2 linked regions of the Xenopus tropicalis genome follow. The protein of the gene in region 1 purifies or fractionates together with the protein of each later gene. This does not show direct contact. Links are inferred from orthologs where the notes say so. Each region holds a gene or a part of one and is shown on either strand. Other genes may lie near its edges.

The links.
Region 2: the proteins of pfn2 (region 1) and actb purify together in Homo sapiens (affinity purification with mass spectrometry; 3 studies listed by BioGRID and IntAct, counting the BioPlex papers as one, with this or other methods). This does not show direct contact. The link is inferred for Xenopus tropicalis from reciprocal best matches to the Homo sapiens genes PFN2 and ACTB.

Annotation. Positions count from the first base shown.
Region 1 is NC_030681.2:118,614,739-118,619,192, reverse strand, and holds the start of pfn2 (profilin-2), read right to left. Parts: upstream 2,938-4,454; 5' UTR 2,823-2,937; coding exon 2,691-2,822; intron 1-2,690. UniProt on the Homo sapiens protein: Binds to actin and affects the structure of the cytoskeleton. At high concentrations, profilin prevents the polymerization of actin, whereas it enhances it at low concentrations. By binding to PIP2, it inhibits the formation of IP3 and DG.
Region 2 is NC_030685.2:46,572,287-46,576,994, forward strand, and holds the start of actb (actin, cytoplasmic 1), read right to left. Parts: upstream 3,258-4,708; 5' UTR 3,232-3,257; intron 2,197-3,231; 5' UTR 2,191-2,196; coding exon 2,068-2,190; intron 1,079-2,067; coding exon 839-1,078; intron 464-838; coding exon 25-463; intron 1-24. UniProt on the Homo sapiens protein: Actin is a highly conserved protein that polymerizes to produce filaments that form cross-linked networks in the cytoplasm of cells.

The DNA.
Region 1 (4,454 bases):
CATTCTGACCAGGGTAATACAAAAATAAAAAGTATGAATCATAAAATGTGCAGTTGCTGCTGAAAGCAAGCCAAGTTATTCCATAAATTAACTGAACATACTGAACAACTGTTCAAATATTACTCGTAGGATCCCCAAGGGCTAACATTCTACTCTGTTCTGTGATATCATCCTAAATTACCAGTGGCCGTGCCAGTGATTAACCCTTCTCCAGATGTACTTACATAGAGATAAATCATAAGTGATCAATAAAGGTAGCGTATCACCCACAGCCCCTGGGTATTGCTGATCCTGAAATCTCTGCTATTAGCAATGCAAGGAGCTACAGTTCAATAGCTGCTGCTCAGCCCCAGTTGAGACACTCTTACCCAAATGAGACATCAGTGTATTATTAACCAGACTGATGATGTATTAATCAGACTATTGCTCTAAATTTGTCACTCAAATTAATGTCACAATCTTGCAGTCTGATATTAAAAGGAAATGTCAGCCAAATACTAACAAATTGCAAAGTGAAAAAGTTCACCAACTCTCAAATTTACATTAAAATAATTCAAATCTTCAGTTAAATGGAATTGCAATGGCTATTAAAAACAGCCTGTCACTTGCTATTTATTGCACTGCTGGTCCTGACTCCTTGGACCACTGAAACAATGTAGCAAGAGTCAGCTCTTCTCCAGCCAAGACTCCATTTCCCAGTGGGAATAATAATCTTGGCTAAGGAAGAGCTGACTTGCTACATTGTTCCAATGGTAAAAGTAGCAAGGACAAGAAATAGCAACGCACTGAAAAATGATTCTTTCAATAGAAATCACAAGTCCCAACTAACTACATGAATAAAAGATTTACTGTGTATTGGAAGAATGCTTCGAACTACAGTTAATTATTTCTGAGTATTTGACTCATTTAAAGTTGGCTCTATAGAAGAACTTATTCTGCACAAGTTCTCAGAGGAGGAAGTGGAATAACTGCTTTATATTGATGACTTGAAAAATCTCTCAATTAAAACCCGATACAGACACCAATGTGCAATATGAGCTTTCTAAGGCCCAGCAGATTGTTCATCGGCTATGCCACAACTGGAATGGTATGACAGACACTGGCAGATTCATTCAGCACCAACCAGCGTGATTTTTAAAGTTTTTGGGCTTCGTGCCAAAATACTTCAGCTTGGGTTTGAAATATATGTGACATAAAAATGCAACTGCAATGTGAAGCCTTAAACAAGGACCGACTGAATTTGGCTGTAATGTATAAATCACAAAACAAATGGCTCTTTCTTGGGCTTCTACACTAGCCATGAGAGAGTTAAGGACGGCATTATGTAGCCCCCATTCAGCAGGATGCCATTGTGAATGCAGCAGAATTTTTAATTGCGCTACCCAATTAGATCTCAGCACCCCTAAAGCACAAATCTTAACGACACAGCGATGCTTACGAGAGGGGGGAAAAAAAGGTAGAGGTACCCAGCAATGATGTCGGGCAGGGAGACTAAAAAATGTAAATGTTAGGGAGACAGAGGAGAAAAAAAAAATCAATGGGACCACGCCATCTTGCAGAAGAATATGGAGAGAGAAGCGGGGGCTGGGATTCACGAAAGCTGCTTACGTCAGGTGCTTTAAATCTCATCCACGACAGCGGCTGGGTGCTATGCAAACGACTTGTGGTGAGTCAATGGCACGCCGGCCTGATCCTACACATTTCACCCTACACCAAAGATGGGCATGCTGCGGCCCTCCTGCTACTACCTTCAGGCTTCCAGGGGCACAGAGGCTGTTCCTCCCTGTACTACATACATTCATTCAGAGTTCCCCCAGATACAGACTAGCATTCCAGAGGCAGCAGATTAACAGTGGGAAGATCACATGGACCTTTCCTACAACTCCCAGCATCAAGCAAGAGCCAGTGGTGTAGTGAGAAGCAGCACAGGGCTGCACTTAGCACACACCTTCCCTAAAGGCAAAATGGCCATAGGAAATAGCTGCACTGATTGTGCCCATAGCCCTTGAACAAGGATAGAAGTTTCCACTGCCATTTAGAGAACAGAGGGCCCTTGGCCATAGAGGAATACATAGTAACATACAGGAGGCCCCAATGTTAGCAGTGGGTAAATGGATCAGGGATCTCCAGCCTCTGTTGTTGCTGAACTACAACCCGAGACTGAACATCACAGACAAATATAGAGAACACAATTACTCAGTACAGGTCTATTGTACTTTTATTTCCATTCCTTCCCCCAGAGGGCCACCCTGATACAGAGTTCCTTCTTCAAATGCCCTTTTTGCCCTCCTCTCAAAAACCCTGTGAATCCAATAAGACAATGCGAGGCCAGTGCCCCCGGGGGACATTGGCTGAATAATAAGTGCATTACAATATGCATATATACGGCTATACTGCTGACATACTAAAGTCGCATGCGACGTGTCGCGGTAAAGCACTGGGCCTGGTGCCACTTGCACTGGGTCACTAATGGCCTCCAGTGAAAGCTCTGCACACTCTATGCAGTAGGGCAGCACCATACACACACATTGCCCCCCAGGGGAGCGCAGAATTACCGGCACAGATACAGACAAGCCGCGTCCCGTGTGGCCCCTTTGTGCAGCCGGAGCCCGTTAGACGCAAGTCCCGCCCCCAGGCGGCAGGTGCAGCACATAGCGGCAATCAGTCTCCTGCATCCTCATTCCGCTTACCGTTATAATCTGAAAGATGCCCCCCGGAGTCGTTGCCCAGACGTACTTGGCGTCCACGTAACCGACAATGGCGGCCTCCTGGCAGCTGCCATCGGCCATCAGCATATCCACGTAATCCTGCCAGCCGGACATCTTCAGTGCGGGTAGAAAGGGGGTCGTCACGCTGCAAAATAACGGTTCCTCACTAGAGCTTGCGGGGGGAATAGGGTGTGGGTAGCCGGTAACGGGGAAGGGGGGTGAAGCGGCTCCGTCACGGCCGGAGATAATCTGAGCTCAGACAGCCAGCAGAAGCCAAGGAAATAGGGCAGCGCCCGGGTGTAGTCCCCCTCCCCCTATCTCCTTCTAATGCCTCCACTTGCAGATCCCTCCGCCAGCAGCGGAAGGACACTGGCACACCTCCACCACGTTGTTCTAACGGGCAGTAGCTGGGGCTGCGTGAGGGAGCAGCATTGCATTGGCCATTGCAGCTCCATGCAGGGATCACTTTGTGTCCTCACAGCCTGCATCCCCTCCATCATGAGACTACAACCTCCACTAACAAGAGGTTCTATTAGGATCTCTATAGTGTATCAGATCCTGTGTGAAGAAGGACATTAGATTGTAAGCTCCACTTGGCCAATCATTTATGTGAAAGATGAATCATTACTAAAGCACTGCAGAAATGTGGTGGCACTATATAAATAAAGAATAATGATAAAAGACAACCTTCAATATGTGGATATGCTTTTACACAGGTATATGGTGTGTGGGCTACATTGCACCAAAGGTTCTATTCAAATAGATGTAATGCAGAATATTGAGGGGCTAGCTAACTGATACAGCTGAAAAAGTTACCCGCAGTAGTCTATCACATTTGCTATGATAAATCCTCTAAAATAATAGGTGAATCAGTTGTTGCTGATCACTGTCAGGTATGGAGAAGTAACAGCTGGAGGGCCACTGCATGGGCTCCCCTTGCCTGAGTGAATAGCACTGGCTTTGCTGCCCCCCCCCTGTGAGGCTAATGCAGACAGGACCCCTAGTCCCTTTTGCTTGGCTGTGCTTTGGGCACACAGAATTCTTTTTTTTTCTTTGAGTCGCGGGACACTGCAGGGCTCCTTTGTTTCAGAACCTTTTTTAATACTCTTATTTGGGGAGGGGAGGAGGTGATGGATATGATTTATATCTGCTCTGCCAAGGGTAGGAGGAGGGAAAGAGGGGGAGGAGCAGGGAGAAGGCAGGACACATGCAGAGACACACAAATGCGCGGGGAGGGGGGAGAAAGGTCGCAGTGTGAGCATTGCAGAAGAATATAAAGGATGGGTTTTTATATACTGCATAGAAACTGAGTGGGTGGAAGCAAAAAAAAACCATAGGAAAAGATGTTGGAGAATTTAAGAGCTAGTTAAGGATCATGCACGTCAGTTTCCAAAGCTGTTGGAACTACAATTCCCATAATGCCAACAACAGCATTGATGATGTACATGATCAGCCGGAATGCCACAGGTTGAAGATGCTGATGCTATAGCTGCATCCTGTTGCTATGGCAACAGAGGCAAGTAGCGCACTGGTCCTTGCCCTCCCTGATATGAGTCAGGATCTCTCTGCACCATTGTGTGCTGAAATATAATAAGCATGGAGTTTTAAATGCTTTGCTTACAGATTTTCATGAGCTGGTTCCAGAAAAAACCTAGACATTCTGTGCCATATTTGGCAAGGGTTATGGGTTTTTGTTTTTTTTTTTTGTTTTTAAGAAAACAAAGTAAAAGAATGGAAAATACCTCT
Region 2 (4,708 bases), on another chromosome or scaffold:
AGACAGTGCTACAAATTCACTCACCAAGGAAAGAAGGCTGGAAGAGTGCTTCTGGACATCTAAACCGCTCATTACCAATGGTGATAACTTGTCCATCAGGCAGCTCATAACTCTTTTCCAATGATGAAGAAGAAGCAGCTGTGGCCATCTCCTGCTCAAAGTCCAGAGCAACATAGCACAATTTCTCCTTGATATCACGAACAATTTCTCTTTCAGCTGTGGTGGTGAAGCTGTACCCCCTCTCAGTGAGGATTTTCATGAGGTAGTCTGTCAGGTCACGTCCAGCCAAGTCCAGACGCAGAATGGCATGGGGTAGAGCATAACCTTCATATATTGGCACAGTGTGTGTTACACCATCACCTGAGTCCATGACAATACCAGTGGTACGACCAGATGCATACAGGGACAACACAGCTTGGATGGCAACATACATAGCTGGAGTGTTAAAGGTCTCAAACATGATCTGTAATGGTTGAAAAGGCAATTAGCACATTACCTGCATAAAGGCATCCAAAACTCATGCATGTGTAGTTTCAGAACAGCATTTGATTTTGCTGCACACAACACAAATTTAGGCAGGGCCAATGTGAGGAAAAACACAAGCAAAGTGAACTTTGAAAAACAAGCCATCATTCAGCACTTTTCACACAACGCTAACATTGTTAGTATTCTACCCTTGATGTAAAACAGGCAAATACTGAAAAAAAACCTTTGAGATTCCAGTAAACTTTGAGGCCAGGACAGCCCTGTAAGGAATAGCAATTATATAATTAAAAAACAAAAAACACAAAACAAAACCCACAACCCAAACCCTCACACCAGAAAACAGGTAACATACCTGCGTCATTTTCTCCCGGTTAGCTTTGGGATTCAAGGGTGCTTCTGTCAGCAGCACTGGGTGTTCCTCTGGGGCCACTCTGAGTTCATTGTAGAAGGTATGATGCCAGATCTTCTCCATATCATCCCAGTTAGTGACAATGCCATGCTCAATAGGATATTTGAGTGTAAGAATACCTCTTTTGCTTTGAGCTTCGTCTCCTACGTAGCTATCTTTCTGTCCCATTCCAACCATGACACCCTAAAATAAAGCGTAAGACAATTTGGACTAAATTAAGTAATTTAGTAAATGAAAAGCATGCCTTAATTCAATACTAGCCAGACAATGGAATGAATAAAGTGGATTTTCATGGACCTCACATAATGCAGACTTTAAGAGGAAATTCTAGAGTAAAAGCTCTTTTGGGCAGGGCCCTCTAATTTCGTAATACTTCCTGTCATCTTGTGCTTACAGGAAACAAGAGTATGCAAGAACATTTGCTATGTTAACCACGCCCCTGTGTATTTCACAAATAAACAGAAGTAGGCAATTTGCAAAGAATATGGAAATGTAGTGTGCAAAGTACAATATATATATCATATTAAATATCTATATACACACACTTAACCTGCACTTAATTAAAATATTTTTCCATTTAAATTAAACCACATTACACTCTGAAAAGAAATTCTTTTCATGCAGGGTTGGAAAATGTAACTGGCTTTAGCACTTACACAGCATAAGTCAATAAACAGGGTTTGTGTGGACAGTATAAAGAGTTTATTTTAAATATGCCTACTCCTAGTTTCAGCCTTGCCGAGAAGTGCCCAAAACCAGCTTAAAGGAATAACCGACACAAGCCTAGGGCACAAGAGTTGGGGGGTGCCCTAGGCACAGCTATTTATGTGATTATTCCTGCCTGCAGTGTTTATTTGAAAGAGTAAAAAAAAAAAAAAAAATAAAAAAAATTGCATCATCTTATGCAACACTTTTTGGAAACTATCCTTACGTGTATGGTTTAAAAACACTCAATGGCAAATATATTGTTACCAACATACCTATAACCCATGCAGAATTGCAGTTTTATTTGCCCCCAGATTAGTTTCACCTTTAACAGTTAAATACATAAAAAAAAAAAAAAAATGTTTTACCTCCTTGGGACAACACACTGATTTGTTAGAGGTGCTTTACTAGTTTTATTTCTAGGTTTTATTTAGACATGAAATGAAAAAGGCATGAAAAGGGCATACCTGATGTCTTGGGCGACCAACAATGGATGGGAAAACAGCACGGGGTGCATCATCACCTGCAAAGCCGGCTTTGCACATACCAGAACCATTGTCAACGACCAGTGCAGCAATATCGTCGTCCATTGTAATCTGAAATTTAAAAAATAAATAAAATTGAGATAATTATCCACCCAAATTATGAGCGCTGGTATATACCACAAGGACGCTTCCTGCCCATTACTTGCATTTCATAAGGTCTGTCACAAGAGGGCGCAGGGGTTTGCACCATTTCTGTACAGATTTAGACAAAGGGAAATCGATTTATTTTCTGTATTACCAAATAAGGCAACAGCAAAGATTTACACAAGCACCCCTCCCATCCAGCCATGGATAGTGAAGGTGTGGCAAAGAAACAAGTCACTGCTGGTATTAGGCAATCGAACCAACCGACTACCACTCCCAATGTTTCATGAAGGCAACACTACAGGACAGAATCACATACTGCAGGTGTGACTCCGTTTTTACCAGTGCAAGGACAAAATAAATATATAAGATGTAACTTGCGCTTTTGTATTCTAGTTACGGATATACATGCATATGGAAAGTCTAAACCGAAGCGGGAGAGAACTACCGCCAATATATTTTAGACAGCAAAAGGCTGTTCCGACACAGATTGCATCACACACTTATACACAATATGTAGCTTTGTGTGCAGCCTCACACTAACATCGGCAGGGAACCGCCCAATCGCACATCCCCAAGCGGCGCTGCTATTGGGGGCTCAGTTTACAGAAGAGGAAACGATACAAAAAAAAAACAAAACCCTATTTTTAAATGCAACTTACAAGTTAAACCTGCTGTAACAGAAAAATGGTTCCCCAGCTCTCCAGTATGTACAACCTACAACTTCCAGTGTCCTTTATCAATTAAGATCTAATTAAGCATATAAGGAACTGAACTTTAGCACAATTCCAGAACCAGGCTTCACGCTTGTCTACTAACAAGTCTTACCTTCAAGTAAATAACGCTACATTAAGCTACCAACTATTTCAAGCACATTATGAAAAACATAGCCAATTAGAACCAAATCATGCTTATTCTAATAATATATAGAGAAAAATAGGCGAATAGAAGCAGGAAATAGCAGAGGAAAAGCACAACAATAGCAGGCTCGGCGCTACTTGCCTGAGAGTACGACACACACACTGTCCTGTTTCTGTGCGGGCGGGTCACTGAGCAGTTGTCGGGCTAGGGCGCCGGTTTTATGCTGCGCGCCCCAGCCGGCTGCACCATATAAGGAGCGTTCCAGGAACTGGGAAGCTGATTGGCTGTAGGAACTGCGGGCGAAGGGGGCGCGTAGAGTGAGGCAGTTACACCTACTAGCTAGGATGCGGATACGTATATACACAGATACGTACATACATAGATATCAATATACATATATATGTTTCATTAAATCTACACTTAGATATACCACGCCTTATCCTTTCCATTAATTGCTGTATAATAAAGGGCGCGGTGCAGAACTCTTTCTTTTTATATTCTTTATTGGCCTGAAATGATTTACTCTCTTAAAACATGGCTTTGCAAAGCAGATAGTCTGCACGTTTATGTCTGCAGAAATGTCAGGACCAAATGCAGTTCGTTAGGATTTCTGCAGCCTGCCGAGACAGTAAGCTTTGTAACGTTACAGTGACGCACTGCATTGTGTTGCGTACAATCCATGAATACAGTGACTCGATTGCACTTCTTGTCTCTAGCGCCAGCATATTGTGATAGTGCCTAGTTATTTCTTCATGTATGGCTGTGTTGTAAGGGAAAGAAAAGTATCATTATAGCACATATTTCCTTATATAAACACTTTTAAATCGCCTTCCCTGCTCTGAGTCAGCGATACTGCTCTTTGTCCATACTTCCATTTCCTATGCAGGTCAACCATTTGTTATTTAACTTTACAGTTTACAGCTCTACAATGACCTCTGGTACTCATAAACGTATTTATTGGTTAAGCTGATACTGTCGAAGATCATCCGTCCCCCTGAGAATAAAATGCAACGTATGTAAGGAAAAAAAATCTAAACTAATCTAAAGTAAAACATTTGGAGCCCCATGCAGTAACTGGAATGTGAGCTCCCCAAGTAACCAACCCTCATATCAGCAAAGACCAAGTTTATCAGCAAAGTCTAAGTTTACTATGACTATGACCTTCCCTGCCAATCTCACTCATATGTTTTTTGAAGCCTGAAGAACATGCTTTTTCACCCAGGTGCAAAAAAAAAACAAAAGAATGCAAGGGTCAGCAAATTTAGACCCTCCTTTAAAATGGAAAGAATGAATGCCCCCCCAGCGAGGAGGCCTGAAGGGGCAGGTGTCTTAGGCCCTCTTCATCAGGTCTAGGGGAGTCCTATTTATCCCCTACCCTGAAGCCAAAAGTCCTACAACTGTAGTGGTCTATAGACTGTCCTTTACCTCAGCTAGATAGGATCCCTTCACAGTTGTGGTTTCACAAAAGCTAGGGGTAAAAGAGCTTAATAGCCAGATGTTAGAGCTGGAGACCTGATTGGCTCCAAACGTGAAATAAAAAGTTAAAGTGACAAAACAAAATTAGTAGATAAATATAAAAACATAAAAAGTGCTGCTTACAGCTCTGACCTTCTGGCAA